Pelodiscus sinensis: one gene and its partner. The protein of the gene in region 2 interacts with the protein of the main gene of each other region in a pairwise test. Links are inferred from orthologs where the notes say so. Each region holds a gene or a part of one and is shown on either strand. Other genes may lie near its edges.

The links.
Region 1: the proteins of YAE1 (region 2) and CEP126 interact in a two-hybrid assay, tested with the Homo sapiens proteins (2 studies listed by BioGRID and IntAct). The link is inferred for Pelodiscus sinensis from reciprocal best matches to the Homo sapiens genes YAE1 and CEP126.

What each region holds. Positions count from the first base shown.
Region 1 is NC_134711.1:304,295,852-304,303,385, reverse strand, and holds the start of CEP126 (centrosomal protein of 126 kDa), read right to left. Parts: upstream 3,012-7,534; coding exon 2,854-3,011; intron 24-2,853; exon of another isoform or gene 22-23; coding exon of another isoform or gene 14-21; coding exon 1-13. Other genes in the region: ANGPTL5 (angiopoietin-related protein 5), read left to right, coding at 3,034-3,195. UniProt on the Homo sapiens protein: Participates in cytokinesis. Necessary for microtubules and mitotic spindle organization. Involved in primary cilium formation.
Region 2 is NC_134712.1:166,988,128-166,995,985, forward strand, and holds the start of YAE1 (protein YAE1 homolog), read right to left. Parts: upstream 3,050-7,858; 5' UTR 2,743-3,049; intron 2,722-2,742; exon of another isoform or gene 2,570-2,721; intron 2,551-2,569; exon of another isoform or gene 2,417-2,550; intron 137-2,416; 5' UTR 66-136; coding exon 1-65. UniProt on the Homo sapiens protein: The complex LTO1:YAE1 functions as a target specific adapter that probably recruits apo-ABCE1 to the cytosolic iron-sulfur protein assembly (CIA) complex machinery. May be required for biogenesis of the large ribosomal subunit and initiation of translation.

The sequences.
Region 1 (7,534 bases), on a different chromosome or scaffold from region 2:
AAATTTCAAAGTTCTGACCATGACTTTATGTTAAGGACAAATATATATATACATATAAAATCCTTGAAATTTCTATTTAGTATTCTTATTAAGTTTTAGACTGATTGCAAATGAATTTGCAGTCTTAGCCACAGATATAAAATTATACTCGTCATGGACATAATAACCTATTTGCATGGATTCTTTTACATGACTTGAGCGTTATGGACTTTTTTGAGAATATGTAATCGTTATCCATAACTAAACTAAAAATGATAATTCTTCAAATTAGGCAATGGCTTATCATAAAGATATAATTTTAAATAAGGTACTGTCTTAATATACATACATTAAGAATGCAATTCCATCTCTCAATTTCTATCACTCAGGCTTTGCACTCTTGGTTTATGATGGTACCACACAGAATTATAGTTTTTCTATTTAGAGCTGAGGATACATCATTCTTTATGATCTGATCTACCAAATAGCAAGGTTATCAAATGGAAAATATTTCTTAAAATAAAATTTAAAACCTCCAAAATGATAATTGTTTAATCTGTAATGTAATGAGTAATTACAATTCAAAATTCTTCAATATCTTGCTTAAAATACATACATATACAGTTACTGTCAAGCAGGATCCAATATTTGCCTTGTCTTAACACAGCGTCTGTTAGTTTCTTTTGGTTTAGAGACTGGGTGTTTCTCTTTGTCTTTTTAAAACCAAACATGCCACCACTTAACAAAAATAAATAATAATCAGGGCTCACCAAGTGGTGGCGAGCCCTGCTCGCCAGCCGTGCGGTTCTGCGAGCTGCGCATGCACAGATTGCGCTGCACATGGGCAGATCGAGTGGTGCTGGCTGTGCCAGCTTGTAATCTACTCGCCATAGGCAAGTAGATTACACAATTTGTCGAGCCCTGATAATAATAATAAATCATAATAATATTTAATCAGATATTTCCCTTATGCTTAGCTATTATAGCAATAGGTGCAGCAGAAATACAATTACTAGGCACATAGGTAATACAGAGTCTTAGAGGGGTAGTTGTGTTAGTCTGTAACTAATAACAGTTAAAAAAACAACACTGGTCCTGAAGCAAGTAAGGGTATGTCTACACTACCCCGCTATTTTGAACTAGCAGGGTAATGTAGGCATACCGCAATTGCAAATGAAGCCCGGGATTTGAATTTCCCGGGCTTCATTTGCATAAGCCGGGCGCCGCCATTTTTAAATCCCGGCTGGTTCGAACCCCGTGCCGCGCGGCTACACGCGGCACGAACTAGGTTGTTCGAACTAGGCTTCCTAGTTCGAACTACCGTTACTCCTCGTGGAATGAGCAGTCAATGGAATTTCCATCAACTACATGATTAGTCAATAAGGGGTAGATGTGGCGCTCGCTATCCCAGCTGCACCGCTGCATTTTAAATGTAATGAGAGATGCCTGTGGCTCTTACTACATTTAAAAGGCAGAGGCGGAGCACGGAACTGTGGCCCTTTTGCCTTTGAAATGTAACAAAAGTCCCGGCGGGCTTTTCCTGCTACATTTCAAAGGCAGAGGCATATCAGTTGGGACCTGGTGCGAGCGGGGACTGCTTGGCTATGTCTGTATTGGAAGATTCTTGCACAAGAACTGCCATTCTTGTGCAAGAACCCGCAGAGCATCCACACTGCTCGCCCGCTCTTGCACAAGAAGATTTACAGTACAGCATTGGAAGACAGGGCTTCTTGCACAAGAGCTACACTCACTCTTTTCTAACAAGTGTAAGCCCTCTTGCACAAGAGCTGGTACAGAGGCAGCAGGGGGAGGGAGGGGAGGAGTGAGGAAGCGAGTACTCAAGTAGTGACTCGACTACCAGATAAGTATCCCTAGGGTACAACCCACTTCTTATATGCCATCTGAAGAAGTGAGTTGTGCCCACGAAAACTCATATACTATTTATATATTTTTGTTATTCTCTAAGGTGCTACAGGACCAATGTTGTTTTTTTACAGAGAACAGGGAAACAAATTTTTCAGCCTGGTCTACCCTGGGGGCAATGTCAAAATAAGGAATGCAACTCCAGCAACGTGACTAGCATAATTGGAGTCAACATACATTAGTTCAAGTTTCTAAGGCATCGCCACTACTGGGGGTCGATGGGAGAAACTCCTCCTTTAGCTTCCTTTACTCTTTTCACTCCAGTGGAGTACCCAAGTCAACAGGACTGCAATCAGTGGTCGATTTAGCTGGCCTTTAGAATTTTGGTCTGACCCAGCATGGCTGTTCTTATTAAAGGAGTTCCAAAAACAGAAAAAAAGTTCAGTCCCCACACGGTTTTAGATACTTTTATTCTCTTTGATGTTAAAAGGCTAAATCTAAAAAAAGGATATTTTATGCCAATGTATCTTCTGTAATATTACAATATATTGATGCAAGATGGTCAAAATTATCTCTTCTAGCTTCCAAATCCAATAATAACCCTATGTTGCCACCATACTGGAGGCCCTCACAGGGACTGGGTATGTGGGGTACCCTAACAATGCCTCTTCCTATAAAACCACTCAGGAAGATAAGCTCATCCATTGGGCCAACCCCATCCACATCAAAATATGAGGGCAACTGAATGATCCATGCAGGGGTGGCACTCCCACCTATTCCTGAGGCAGCCACCTTGTGGGACAGCTAATTGCACATCCCCAGTGAGCTGCCCCACGGGGCCTGCCCTCCTATCCCAGCCTCCCTCCTCCCAGGGCCCATTCCGCGCACCTCCTCTCCTTCTTTCCCAGACATCCTGTCACTGGGGCTTGTCTCCCCCTTTTCCAACACTCCCGGGGGTGCCGCCTGCCCTGCCCCCGCAGAGCCCCGCTGCCTTGCACCCGCGAAGGATACGCGCACGCGCTGCCCGCGAAGGTGCCGCCGTGGCACTGAGGCGCGCAGTCCGGAGCCGGGCGAAAGAGGCTCCTCCAGCCGGACCCGCCCGGCGCAGCAGAGCCCGGCTCCCACTGTGCGGGGCTGACGCCCCCCGCGCCCCTCACGCCGGGCTCCATTCAGCCCCGCCGGACCGCCCCCATGCCGGTCCCTGCCTGCCTGCTGGGTCAGGGCTGGGCGGGGGCGCCCATCGCTCTGCGGCTCGGCCGCCCTGCCGCCATCTTGGCAACCACGGACGCCGCTTCCTTCGCAACGGAAACCAGGGGCAACGCGAGGGGAGAGAGAGGAACTGGGGCACCGTCGGCAAGGGAGACGGGGGCGGGGCCTACGTGGGGGAGGAGCCTGGGGCCGGGACGGGAGAAGCGCCTGGGAGACAGGGATGAGCCAGGGAAGGGGGCGGGGCTGGGAGTTGCGGAGAGAAGTATGTGAGGAGCAGGTTGCTCCTCCCACCGGCTCAAAAGCCTTGAGCTCACCATCCAAAAACAAACAGGTTTTTAAAAAAATACTCACCCGGGGATCTTTTTATTTAGAAAAAAAGAAAAGAAAACAAACCGGAAAGCTGAATATCATATGAAGTCACATGACTCTTGGGATTGGAGCTTTACAAAAAACACCAAACACAGGAGGACACATTCATAGATAAAGGTTCACCGTTTTGCCAACTCACAATTGTATTACAAATCTTGTGATGTTTGTTGGTCTTCTTAAAGCTCCACCTCAAAGACTAGCTAGTGTGGCCAACTTTCTAATGATTCTAAACCAAACATCCTTGGCCTGCCCCCTGTCTTGCCCATTCCTCAAGGACCCAACCCTGCCCTACTCCTCCAAGGCCCCCCCACTCCTCTCAGGGAGATATAGGGTGGGCACTAACAGTTGTGTGCCCCCTGAATGCCACTGGGGGTAGAGCCAAGGGGCCAGCAGCCAGAGACATCCTGTCCTAAAGACAGTTCATCTAACTTTGAGGGGCTCCACACTGTGCATGGGACTAGCAGGTGGTGGGAAGCAGATCTCCACCTCCCTCTGCTTCCCACAGCTGGTGAGTGCAGAGGGCAGTTCCTCCACTTTCCTTAAGCCCTGTTCCCCAGGGATGAAGATTAGCAGGGGGCCTGACACTGGAAGCAGCGATTGGGTCCCCCAATACTTAATGGCAGTGGCGGGAAGCAGAATGACCCAGCCCTAGCCTGCTCTGCTCCCCTGACCCCTAGCTGTGTCGCTGGGAAAGGAACTTGGTTGAACTGATGGCACCTCCCTTTGCACTCACCAGTGGCAGAGAAGTGGAGCAATGTGACTTAGAGCCAAAGGAACAGAGTGGGCTTGTGTCGGATTGCTTCTCCACTGTGGAGTACAGGGCAAAAGCTGACTGCTGCTGTTGGTGCCAAATCCCCCATTTTGCCCCCTGGGCCATGTTGTTCAGCGGGGGGGGGGGAGAGAAAAGGGTGAGCTTGAGGAAAGAGTGGATTAGAGGAAGAGAGAGGGTGGAGCAGGGATGGGGAGGGGTGGAGCACAAGGTTGGGGAAAGGATGGAGTGGATGTGGGATGGGGATGGGAAGAAGTTGGGCCCTCCCCAGTAGGGATGTAAGTGAGTAGTCAACTATTCGACTACTCGCTTCCCTCCCTGCTGCTGCTTTTGTATCAGAGGCAGCAAGGGGAGAGGGGAATGGACCCAGTGCTGGGGGGATCCAGCTTAAAAGTTGGTTCCCCCAGCACCGTCTCTGTGGTGCCACTTGCCCCATGCCACTGTCTCTATCAGGCATGAGCTGGGACAGAGCCAGGACCATTGTGTCTCTACATTTTAAATGTAGTAAGAGCCACAGCGGTCCCAGACTGACCCCAGCCACAACTGAGCTAGACTTGTTTGGTTTTGGCTTGCACCAGCTCCAGCAGAAGCCCCTGTTCATGGCGGTCCAGGTTGGCCTCAGGCAGAGACTGCTCCAGCAGCAGTCCCTGTCCACACCCTGCTTGGACCCCCTGCAGATAGGGGCTGCTGCACCTGGTGAGAGCCAGGACCAAGCAAATCTGGCTCAGTCCTGGCTCTCAATGGTCTGGGACCTACCTCCCCTGCGGCTCTGCAGTTTAAATGTAGTAGGAGACAGGCTGCCTGCACGCCCAGTTTCTACTACATTTAAACTGCAGAGCTACAGCAGGGGTAGCTCCTGGACCAGTGCAAGCCAGCACAGAGCCCTTCTCTTATAGACATATTGTGTGGTGGATACAAATTGTATCGACTGCACAATTAGTCAATAACTCATCTCTTAGCATACCTACCCATTCTAATAGTGGCATGGGGGAGCAGTCATATGGGGGCAGTCACATGGCCAGCGGTCTTGAGTCCCTCCTTAGCAGTCACCAGTAGGTGCAGGGAGTGTTTCGAGCTAGGGTAGGGATTTGGACTCCGAGAGGGAGTTTGGGTGTGGAAGGGAGCTCAGAGCTGGTGTAACCCACATACCTAGTTTGGGTCTCTGTCCCATGAAGTGGCACCTAGACCACAGCAACAAATAAAAACAAGAGACCTCTACAGTATAGCTGAAAGGGTAGAGGCTCCTATACTAAGCTTCCCAGGTTCAAATCTATCTGGTGACAGTTACACTGGGACAAGAGAGTTGGGGTGCACAAGAGCATAAAATGGCCATACTGGGTCAGACCAAAGATCCATCTAGCCTAGTATCCTGTCTTTCCACAGACAACCAAGGAAAGGTGCTGTAGAGAGAATGAAAAGAACAGATATTCACTGAGTTGCTTGTTCCCAGCACCTGGGAAACAGAGGCAAGGGTCACCATCCCTATCCATCCTCACTTACAGCCATTGATGGACCTATCCTTCACGAATTTATTTAGTTCTTTTTTGAACCCTATCATAGTCTTGGCCTTCACAACATCCTCTGGCCAAAATTCCGTACGTTGACTGCACATTGTGTGATAATATATTTCCTTTTGTTTGTTTTAAACTTGCTGTTTATTCATTTTATTTGGTGACCCCTAGCTTTTGTGTTATGAGGAGGAGTAAATAGCTCTTCCCTGTTTACTTTCTCTACACTGGTCATGATTTTATAGATCTTTAGTGATATCCCCGCTTAATTGTCTCTTTTCCTAGCTGAAAAGTGCCAGTTTTATTAATCTCTCCTCATAATATAGAAGCCATTCCATATCTCGAATCATTTTTGTTGTCCTTTTCTGAACCTTTTCCAATTCCACTATATACTTTTTGAGATAGGGCAATCACATATGCACAAGCTGTGGATGTACCATGGATTTATATAGAGCAAATATGATATTTTCTGTTTTATTATCTATCTCTTTGTTAATGATTCCCAACATTCTGTTCACTCTTTTGACTATCACTGCACATCAAGTAGATGTTTTCAGAGATCTATCCGCAACGACTCCAAGATGTCTTTCTTGAGTAATAACAGCTAATTTAGACACCATCATTTTATTTGTATAGTTAGGATTATGTTTTCCCATGTGGACTATTTTGCATTTATAAACATTACATTTCATCTACCATTTGGTTGCCTAGTCACCCAGTTTTGAGAGATTCTTTTGCCAACCAGCTCTTAATACATTTAAAAAGCAGAGTCGCAGCATCTGGGACTGGGCACGAGCCGGGAATCAGTAGAGATGTTTTACGTAGAGAAAGCTCATAGAGTTCACTCTCTTTATCAGTGAAAGAGAAATATGCACAGCTGTTCTCCACAAGTAACAATTATTTATACTGGGCTTGACAATAAATGTATTTTATTAAGTATAAAAAATAGGATTTAAGTGGTTGCAAGTGATGACAGACAGATCAAAGTGAGATACTAAGTCAAAATATACAAAACATGCCAGCTAAGACTAATACACGAAGAGATATTGTAACATATCATATTTTCTCACACTAGTCCTTATTTCAGGTAAAGTCCTTCAGGACAGAGCAGATCTTTTCTCTGACTTGGACCCAGCTGCTTCTCTCCCTTTGTTTCCAGGTCTCTTCATATGTCCTTTTGTGATGGGGATCATTCTGTGAAGCCAGCTGAAGACCATCATTGTTTGCTTCCCATTCCTTAAATAGAATTTCCACAGGATGGGGAAATCTTTGTTCCATTCATCCACCCCAGTGGAAAAATATCAAATTCAGGATGGATTCCAAAACCAAGTGGCATAGTCACACGACTTTATAGGATCAACCATAGTTTAGGCTTACGGGAACAACAAGACTATTCACAGATCATTGCTGTGAGCTCTGGGCCAAGTTCCTTAAGTACCATTAATGGCTCTCACTAGCAGATCTAGATTAATAAACAGCTTTACACTTCATATTTCTAACTTCACATACAAGTGTCTGCTGTTGCCTGTGCCAGAAGAACACGAAAGATAAACGCATACAAATAGAGTATATACATTCAGGCTATGTCTACACTCGGAGCTTCTTGCACGAGTAATATGCAAATGAGTATAAGCGTGGAATATCGCCGAGCCTCATTTGCATACCTAACGAGCAACCATTTTTTTCAGAAGAGGCTCTTGCACAAGAAAGAGCGTCTACACTGCCCCTTTTTGTGCAAGAAAAACCCTCTTGCGCAATGCCGTTACACCTATTACTTTTCAGGAAGAACGGCATTGCGCAAGAGGGTTTTTCTTATGCAAGAATGGGCCGTGTAGAT
Region 2 (7,858 bases):
TCATCAGCATCTTCATCAAACACATCCTCACTGGGCCGGATGACTGCAGCTTGCATCCACGACATTGCAGCAGTAATAAGGATTCCAGTATATATGATACAAACTAGTACTGTGAAAATCTGAGCCGTTCTTCCTCCTGAGCATCAAGTTAAAACCACAGGCTTTACAAGTACAAGTTTTGAGGAAAAGTAACTTCAGTAATCAGAGATTCTAGTTTTATGTTTTTCATATAGAACCTTACAAGGTCATAAATTCAGCCATCTCAATTTTTTGGTTGTTTTTTCCAATAACTGAGACACACATATAGGCTATGTCTAAACTACATCCCTCTTTTGAAAGAGGGATGTAAATTAGGCAGATCGAAAGTGCAAATGAAGCGGGGATTTAAATATCCTATGCTTCATTTGCATAATCACATCATAGTGTTCTTTCGAAAAGTGACACCGCCGTCTAGACTTGGTTCTTTCAAAAAACCCCCTTTTTCGAAAGATCCTGTACTCCTCAAAAAATGAGGCTGGGCAGCTGGGGGCCATTTGTAGGGGCGCATGGGGCAGCTTTGTGAGCCACACTTGCAGGGGTGAAGAGCCGCAGGTTGGCCACCTCTGGTCTAGTGGTTGACTAGCAAAACTGGGGATCCAAGAATCCTGGTTCTTGATCAAAGTCACATACATCTCCAAGCTCTCATTTAATTTATTTATGCCTCAGTTTCCTCATTTGGAAAACACAGATAATACATATATTGCCACCTCACTTAATTATCGGGTGTAAGGAATTAATGTTTGTAAAGCACTTTCAAATCACAGAATGGAAGGTGATATATGAGTACCAAATATTACAGTTTAATTAAACCACTACTACTATATGACTTATTTTTATTGGAAAAACTTAAATAGTCTAGTAGCACTTTAAAGACTAACAAAACATGTAGTTTTTAAAGTGCTACTAGACTATTTGTTGTTTTTAGAAGTTTTTCCTGTTACAAACTAACTCAGCTAACCCTCTGTTGCTTTTGTTGGTCCTTGGGTAATTTTACAGCAGTTTCCAAAATGGGAAAAGCTAGTAAAAATATGCAGGGGCAGATGGAAAGAGCATGTAAATAGGAAGAAAATAAGTCCAATACAGGTCATATTGCAGCAGCTCCTGTCCTGGCTCCAGAGCAGAGGGAGCCCATTTTGGGGTGGGAGGGTGGAGGTAGAGCAGAGTGGGGAGGTGGGAACAACAGGGACAGGGTGAGGGGCAGGGGGAGGCAGGCCTCAGGAATCTGGTGACCAGCAATTAGAAGGATAGCACATGGTAAAATTCTCTAGAGGTGGCACCAACACTCATATTTGTGTCTGGTTTTTCCCCACTGCCAGTCCCCAGGGACCACCTAATGCCACAAGTTGGTCATGGAGCCCATGGTTTAGCTCACAGGGACTGTATGAGGGATCATGAGGCCTTTGAATTGTCCACGTGGAGTGCACAGTGCCTACAGCCAATGTGGGGGCGCTTCTGATGCTACTTGCCATTGATTTATTAAATTTGCAGCATAGAACATTTGAAACAATACTATTCACTGAATAATCAATGTGAAAATCATAGTGGAAACTGGGGCTAGAACAGAATCACTTTGTACCCAGCACTGTGTCTATGAAATACCTAATGATACAACAAAACCGAGTAGGTCCCATGGCACTTTAACACAAATATGTATATAGTATCATGAGCTTTCCTGGGAAAACCCATTTGGCCAGATAAGAACTGTGACGGCGCGTTGGGGGGGTCCCCCGTCTCCTGCACCCCGAAATGGCACAAACAGACTGCACCAGCCGGTGGAATAGAGGACGTTTATTGCCTCTCCAGGATACAGCACAGCACAGATGTAATCTGGTCCCAGAGCTGGGCTAGGATGCCTCAGGCCCCCTTGAGATGGGGGGAGACTGGGCCCCTAAACTCTAGCCCCTTTCCCTAGGCTGTCTCCTCCATGCTCCCAGACAGCAACTAAACTCACTCTCTTCCAGCCCTGCCCCCCAGCCAGGGCAGCCTCCACCTTCCTTTGTTCCTCTCCATGGTTCAACCGGTTTGGCATCACCTTTGCATAGTGAGGTTTCCCCTGCTGGGTCTTGCTCCAGACAGCAGAGGTCACCACAGCCCAGCAAGTACCCCCCCTACGTCACAAGAACCGTCTGACCAAGTGGGTTTTGCCCAGGAAAGCTCATGATACTATAGATACTAAAGCGCCACAAACCTACCCAGTGTTAGAGGAACACGACTACCCCTCAGAGACGGGTGACACAATTCCATTCCCTCTCGAATCAGCAAAAATTAGACCTTGCCGCGCAAAAACAAACTCCTCCCCTCCCCCCCCCCCCGAGCGCACTGTGACACAGGGTCCAGACACCCCAAACAATAAGCAGCCGTGACCCCTGGGCAACACCTGAAGGACAGAAACACGAATCCCAGTCCAGGGCCCCGATCCCCAGGCTGCTTCTGGGACAACGCAAGAAGCCAGCCTGGCAGGCGACGGAAGTGACCTTTCGCTCCCTCCAGCCCCTCCTCGCTCAAACCTGCTGCCCCCGCCCCGGCTCACCGCTTTCCTGGCCGGGCTAGCGGCCAGCTACCCTTCCTCGCGCCGCACCTCGAGCACGGCGCGCGGCCATTTTGACTCAGGGCAGGCTACCCTCACACCCTTTGGAAGCCTCGTGGGAACAGCAGCCATCTTTGCTAAGGGAGGCCTGTTTTACACCCCCCCCCCCAACTCACCGCATGGGCGGAGGGTGTAAGGAAACGGCGGCCATCTTAAGAGAGGGCTGCCTGCCTTCAACCCGCTTGCGGCAACGGCGGCGGGGGGGGGGGGGGGTCGGCCGCCATCTTTAGTAAGGGCGCACTCGAGGCTTAAAAGTCGCGGCCGTTGGCGTCGCCTTTCTGCTCAGCACCGAGATCGAGGCTGAGGCTGCGATACCCGCGCCCCGGCCTCCCACGGGCTTTGATAAGCCTGGGCTGGGGGTGTGTCGGGGAGAAGTAACTATGACAACAGGGCGTTGCCAGCGAGCGCTCGCCCCGCCCCGCCCTTTTTGCGTCCAAAACCCAATTACTCCCCCCCTCCCCCCCACGGCCATGAGCACCGTGTGAGCGCGCGAGTGCGCCCAGCGCGGCTGCGCGAGGTGGTTCTGGCAGCCCACGCGCCTAGGCCCGCTCTCCCGTGCAAGCGCGTGAGGGGCCGAGCGGGACGCTCACCCTGCGAGCCGGACGTTGCTGTGCGAGCGCGCGCACGCGCGCGCGTGTTTGCGCAGCTCTCGCGCGCTGCCCAGAGTCTGGGCTGCAACATTCCGCTCCGCAGTCCAGCCAGGCAGGGGGCAGCCGCGCTTCCCATTGTACAAACCCGGGAACAGACAGATCATGACCCATCAGCGTGGCTGGGCACAGACCGAGACACTCTGGCTGGCCTTTCCCCGCTCTGCATAACCGTGAATCATCATAGCCAGAGAGCAGGAGAAATCCTTTTTCAAAAGAAAGGGGGTTGAATGGAAGACTATCCAGGAACTGGTCTGCATTACTCAGGTTGATCAAAAGCAGCTTAACATTGACCTAATTGTGTCAGTATATACAAGGGGTAGGCAAAGGGGCCTCTGCAGGCTGGACTCAGCCCACCAAGGAAGTTGAACTGGCCGTGGAGGCCCTCATCACTGCCCCCAGGCCACTCAGGGTCTGGGGGAGAGGGGGAAGCAGATGGAGTCTCCTTCCACTCTGCGAGGGGTGCAGCTTTTAAGTACTGCATGCACCTTGCAGGATGGGGGCAGGAACTTCACTTGCTCCCCCCACCTCCAGGCCTATCAAGGTTTGGGGGTGGGGGAGCAGTGAAGTCTCCTGCCCTGCAAGGGGCTCAGGACTTAAAGTCAACCATCAGCTGCTGCTCAGCTGGTGGTTGACTCTTAACTGCTGCACTCCCTTGCAGGACTGGGACAGGGAGCAAGAGACTTCCTGGGGGGTGGGGGGAAGCATGCAAAGTTGCCTCCTACAGCCAGGGTCATGGGTCCCTAGAGTGTGCGTGCCTCCCCTGACCCATCAGGGTCTGTGGGTGGGGAAACTCAGAAGGGTCCTGGCCTTGCCCCTTCTGCCAGAGGCCCCACCCCTTCTGGGGCAGCCTGGGACTAGTTCAAAAATTTCTGAAGTGTCCCCCGGAAAAAAATTATTGCCCACCCCTGGTATATACATTACAGGCTTGTCCTGCTGCTGTAAGGTGTGTCTACACGGCACCGTAACTTGAAACAAGATATGCAATTTGAGCTATGCAGGTTGTATATCTTATTTTGATGCTCTTTTGAAATAGCTTATTTGGCCATTTGGCATTTAGGTAGATAGATCCAAGTTTTAGGTATAGTGCAGGCCTGTGATTCCCTCCTGAGCTTGTTCCCTCTCTAACCTCAGCCTATTTATTTTTCTTGTACACTGGTGATGATGGACCTTTCTACTAGCCTGAGTAGTTCAGTGACCTATTGTCTAGACCCTTTCTCTCCAGCCCAGTCAGGGAGGATGGAAGATAGCCAGCAGGTTAATTTGATTGTCATAGTCCTAATGGGGTTTTAATTACAACATCTCCTTGCACAGCAGGCAACACCTTACATTGACCAACAAAATGATTAAAATTGAATCCCTGGACTCATGACATATATTATCCAACTTTTCCATAGCGCCTTCTATTCAGGAATCTCAACATGTTACATAACCTAACCAAACCACACAACACTTCTGTGAGGAAGGTAAAGGATACTTAGGAAACATTTCACTCATCTTTGTGAACAATGACCTTGCTTAATAGCACCTAGCACCATTCACAATAGTTTAGAATGAAATATCCCATTGAAACTAGAAGGAGTCTATAGAGATGTGGAATTTAGTTATTAGAGCTGGAAGTTTGCCTGGACACCAGGTCTATCACCCTAGAACATAAGGACGGCCGTACTGGGTCAGACAAAGGTCCATCTAGCCCAGAAGCCTGTCTGCCAACAGTGGCCAGCGCCAGGTGCCCCAGAGGGGGTGGACCGAATACAATGATCAAGCGATTTGTCTCATGCCATCCATCTCTAGCCTCTAACAAACAGGCCAGGGACACCATTTCTATCCCCTGGCTAATAGCCTTTTATGGACCTAACCTCCATGAAATTATCTAGCTTCTCTTTAAACTTTGTGTTTAACTTTTGTCATTACACTATGGTCTTGAGTATCAGAGGGGTAGCTGTGTTAGTCCGAATCTGGAAAAACAACGAGAAGTCCTGTGGCACTTTATAGATTAACAGATTTATTGGAGCATAAGCTTTTGTGGGCAACGACCCACTTCCTCAGATGCATCTTGATTTACTATGGTCTTGATTTACCAATGACTCAAAGAGAGCAATGTTTCCTTCTGAATCATCGTAAGTATTTGTTGCCTCACCTACATTAGCTTTCTGGTCACCCATATGCTGACCCATTTGTTTTGTGAGTCATAGTAGGAAACAAAAGCTACTTCCTCTTTCTTTTCTATATTCCTTTATTAAATATCTAAAATTAGGCATTTACCTTATTTGCCTCAATTTTCTACCATTTCCCGTCCCAATGTTCCCAGTACAAACATTTTAAAATGAAGGGGAAATTGTTCTTTCCCCTTTTCTTCATCTCACAAAAAATAGTGAAATTTGCCAGTCTATTTTAAACACAGGTAGGGCATGTCAACACAACAGGGCTAAAGCTGGAATAAGCAACGCAACTTGAGCTATGTCAATTGCGTAGCTGAAGTTGAAACAGCTTATTTCGGCAGGAAGCTAATTTAAGGATGTTAAAGAGTCATTGCATTTGCTTATCAGATAGTCAACAGGATAATCAATTAGTCGCTTCCTCCCCCTTGCTGCCTTCATTAGATAGAGGCAACAACGGGAGGAAATCTGGGGTAGTGCCGCACAAATGATCTGGACTCCTCAGCTGACCCTGGGCTCTGCCCGTTTGAAATGCCACAGCAGCGTTTCAAAGGGGCAGCGCCGCCCTATTGACTAATTGAATAGTCGATGCATTTTTTCATCGACTATTCGATTAGTCCAATACTTAATACTTGGACTAAAATCCTTAGTCCAAGTTAGAGCACTCGTCTTCCAACTTCCCTTATTCCTAGTATAATGAGAGTTACCGGAGTTGTAGTAAGAAGTCCTCCAGCTTCACAGTATTTTGACATTGTCAAAATAACTGCCTGCTGTGTAGGCACGAACTATGTTATTTCGGAATTACATCAGGAGGAGCAGTGGGGAAGGAGCAGAATGCTGGCAGCTCCTTTGGCTGCCAAAGCATTCTCAGCCCTGCCCCCCAGATTGCAGAATTGTACGCACACAGCCAGTGGAGGGGTCGGGGTTGGTCAGCAGGGAGTCTTTCTGGTTTGCTATGCTGGCTAAAAATATTTTGCTAGTATGGCATACTTGTACCACTGTTTATTCGTCACTCAACTTCCATATGAGGAACAAAGTAATTCTGTATTATCAAATGCAAATATGTTTACTGCCCCATAATGATAACACTAAATGACTAAAATTAAGAGGCCAAGTGTTAAGTTCTTGATGTTATTGGTTAGTGGGTCCAATGGAATCTAATCTGGGGCTATGTACACACAGAAAGGCTGCAAGGAATAAGAGTATGTAAGGGCATTACTTTAATTTATACGTTCATACTCCCTCATTAGTTGCTTTTCTTTCTGCTTCTCATGTATGAATCATGTTTAAGTTTGCCTCGTGTTAAGCTAACACATGGTAATGTCTTTAGCTGTATGTTATAAAGGAGATGAAAAAAGGGGTTTGCAATGGGAACTGTGTTGTGACCTTAATGATGTAGAGAGATTCCAAACTGAAGGTGCTATTGGATTAAAATATCAGAATGTCATGTGCCTGTAAATTAAAGTCCATGCTCATGTGTATTATTTATATATGAACTATCATGGAAGATTGGTGTTCAATTCTGCTTGGGAACTGCAGCAAAAATGCATGAGTGAAATTGTCTAGAGATGACTTAGGGTGTTTGAAATAGCATGAATAACTTAATTCTCTCTGCTTAAGAGTTCTCGTATTCTATTCAAGAACATCCTTTCAGGATTTTTAGCAGAAACATTGCCATTTTAATAAAAAGAGTGACTCAGTAATCAGATAAGCTGTTTACCAAAGTGCTACCATTGTTTTTTCTAATGGGATGAGAGCAAGCAATTTATAGGTATATTACAGATGTGCCGATGACTACTCTGTCTCTCCATGGAATGCTATGTTAAAAGAAAATTCTTAGACTATACTAAGGCAGTGAAACAGTGTGTATAGTTTCTTGGAAACCTGAAATATTTATCCGTTTCTCACACCCACTCATTTGACAATGTCTGCTTTCCTGGATTATCTAAACATCACCAAATTTCAATTCTCAAAGGATGACCCCTGAAGTTTGTGTGTGAAAACAATAAGACTGTGTCTAGATTGCATCCCTTTTCCATAAAAGGGATGCAAATTAGACACATCGCAATTGCAAATGAAGCGGGGATTTAAATCTTCCCCGCTTCATTTGCATAAACATGGCTGCCGCTTTTTTCCGGCTCGGGGCTTTGCCGGAAAAAAGCGCCAATCTAGACGGGATCTTTCGGAAAATAAAGCCTTTTCCGAAAGATCCCTTATTCCTTATTTTAAGAGGAATAAGGGATCTTTCGGAAAAGGCTTTATTTTCTGAAAGATCCCCATCTAGACTGGCGCTTTTTTCCGGCAAAGCCTCGAGCCGGAAAAAAACGTCAGTCATATTTATGCAAATGAAGCAAGGAAGATTTAAATCCCCCCTTCATTTGCAATTGCGATGTGTCTAATTTGCATCCCGTTTACGGAAAAGGTAT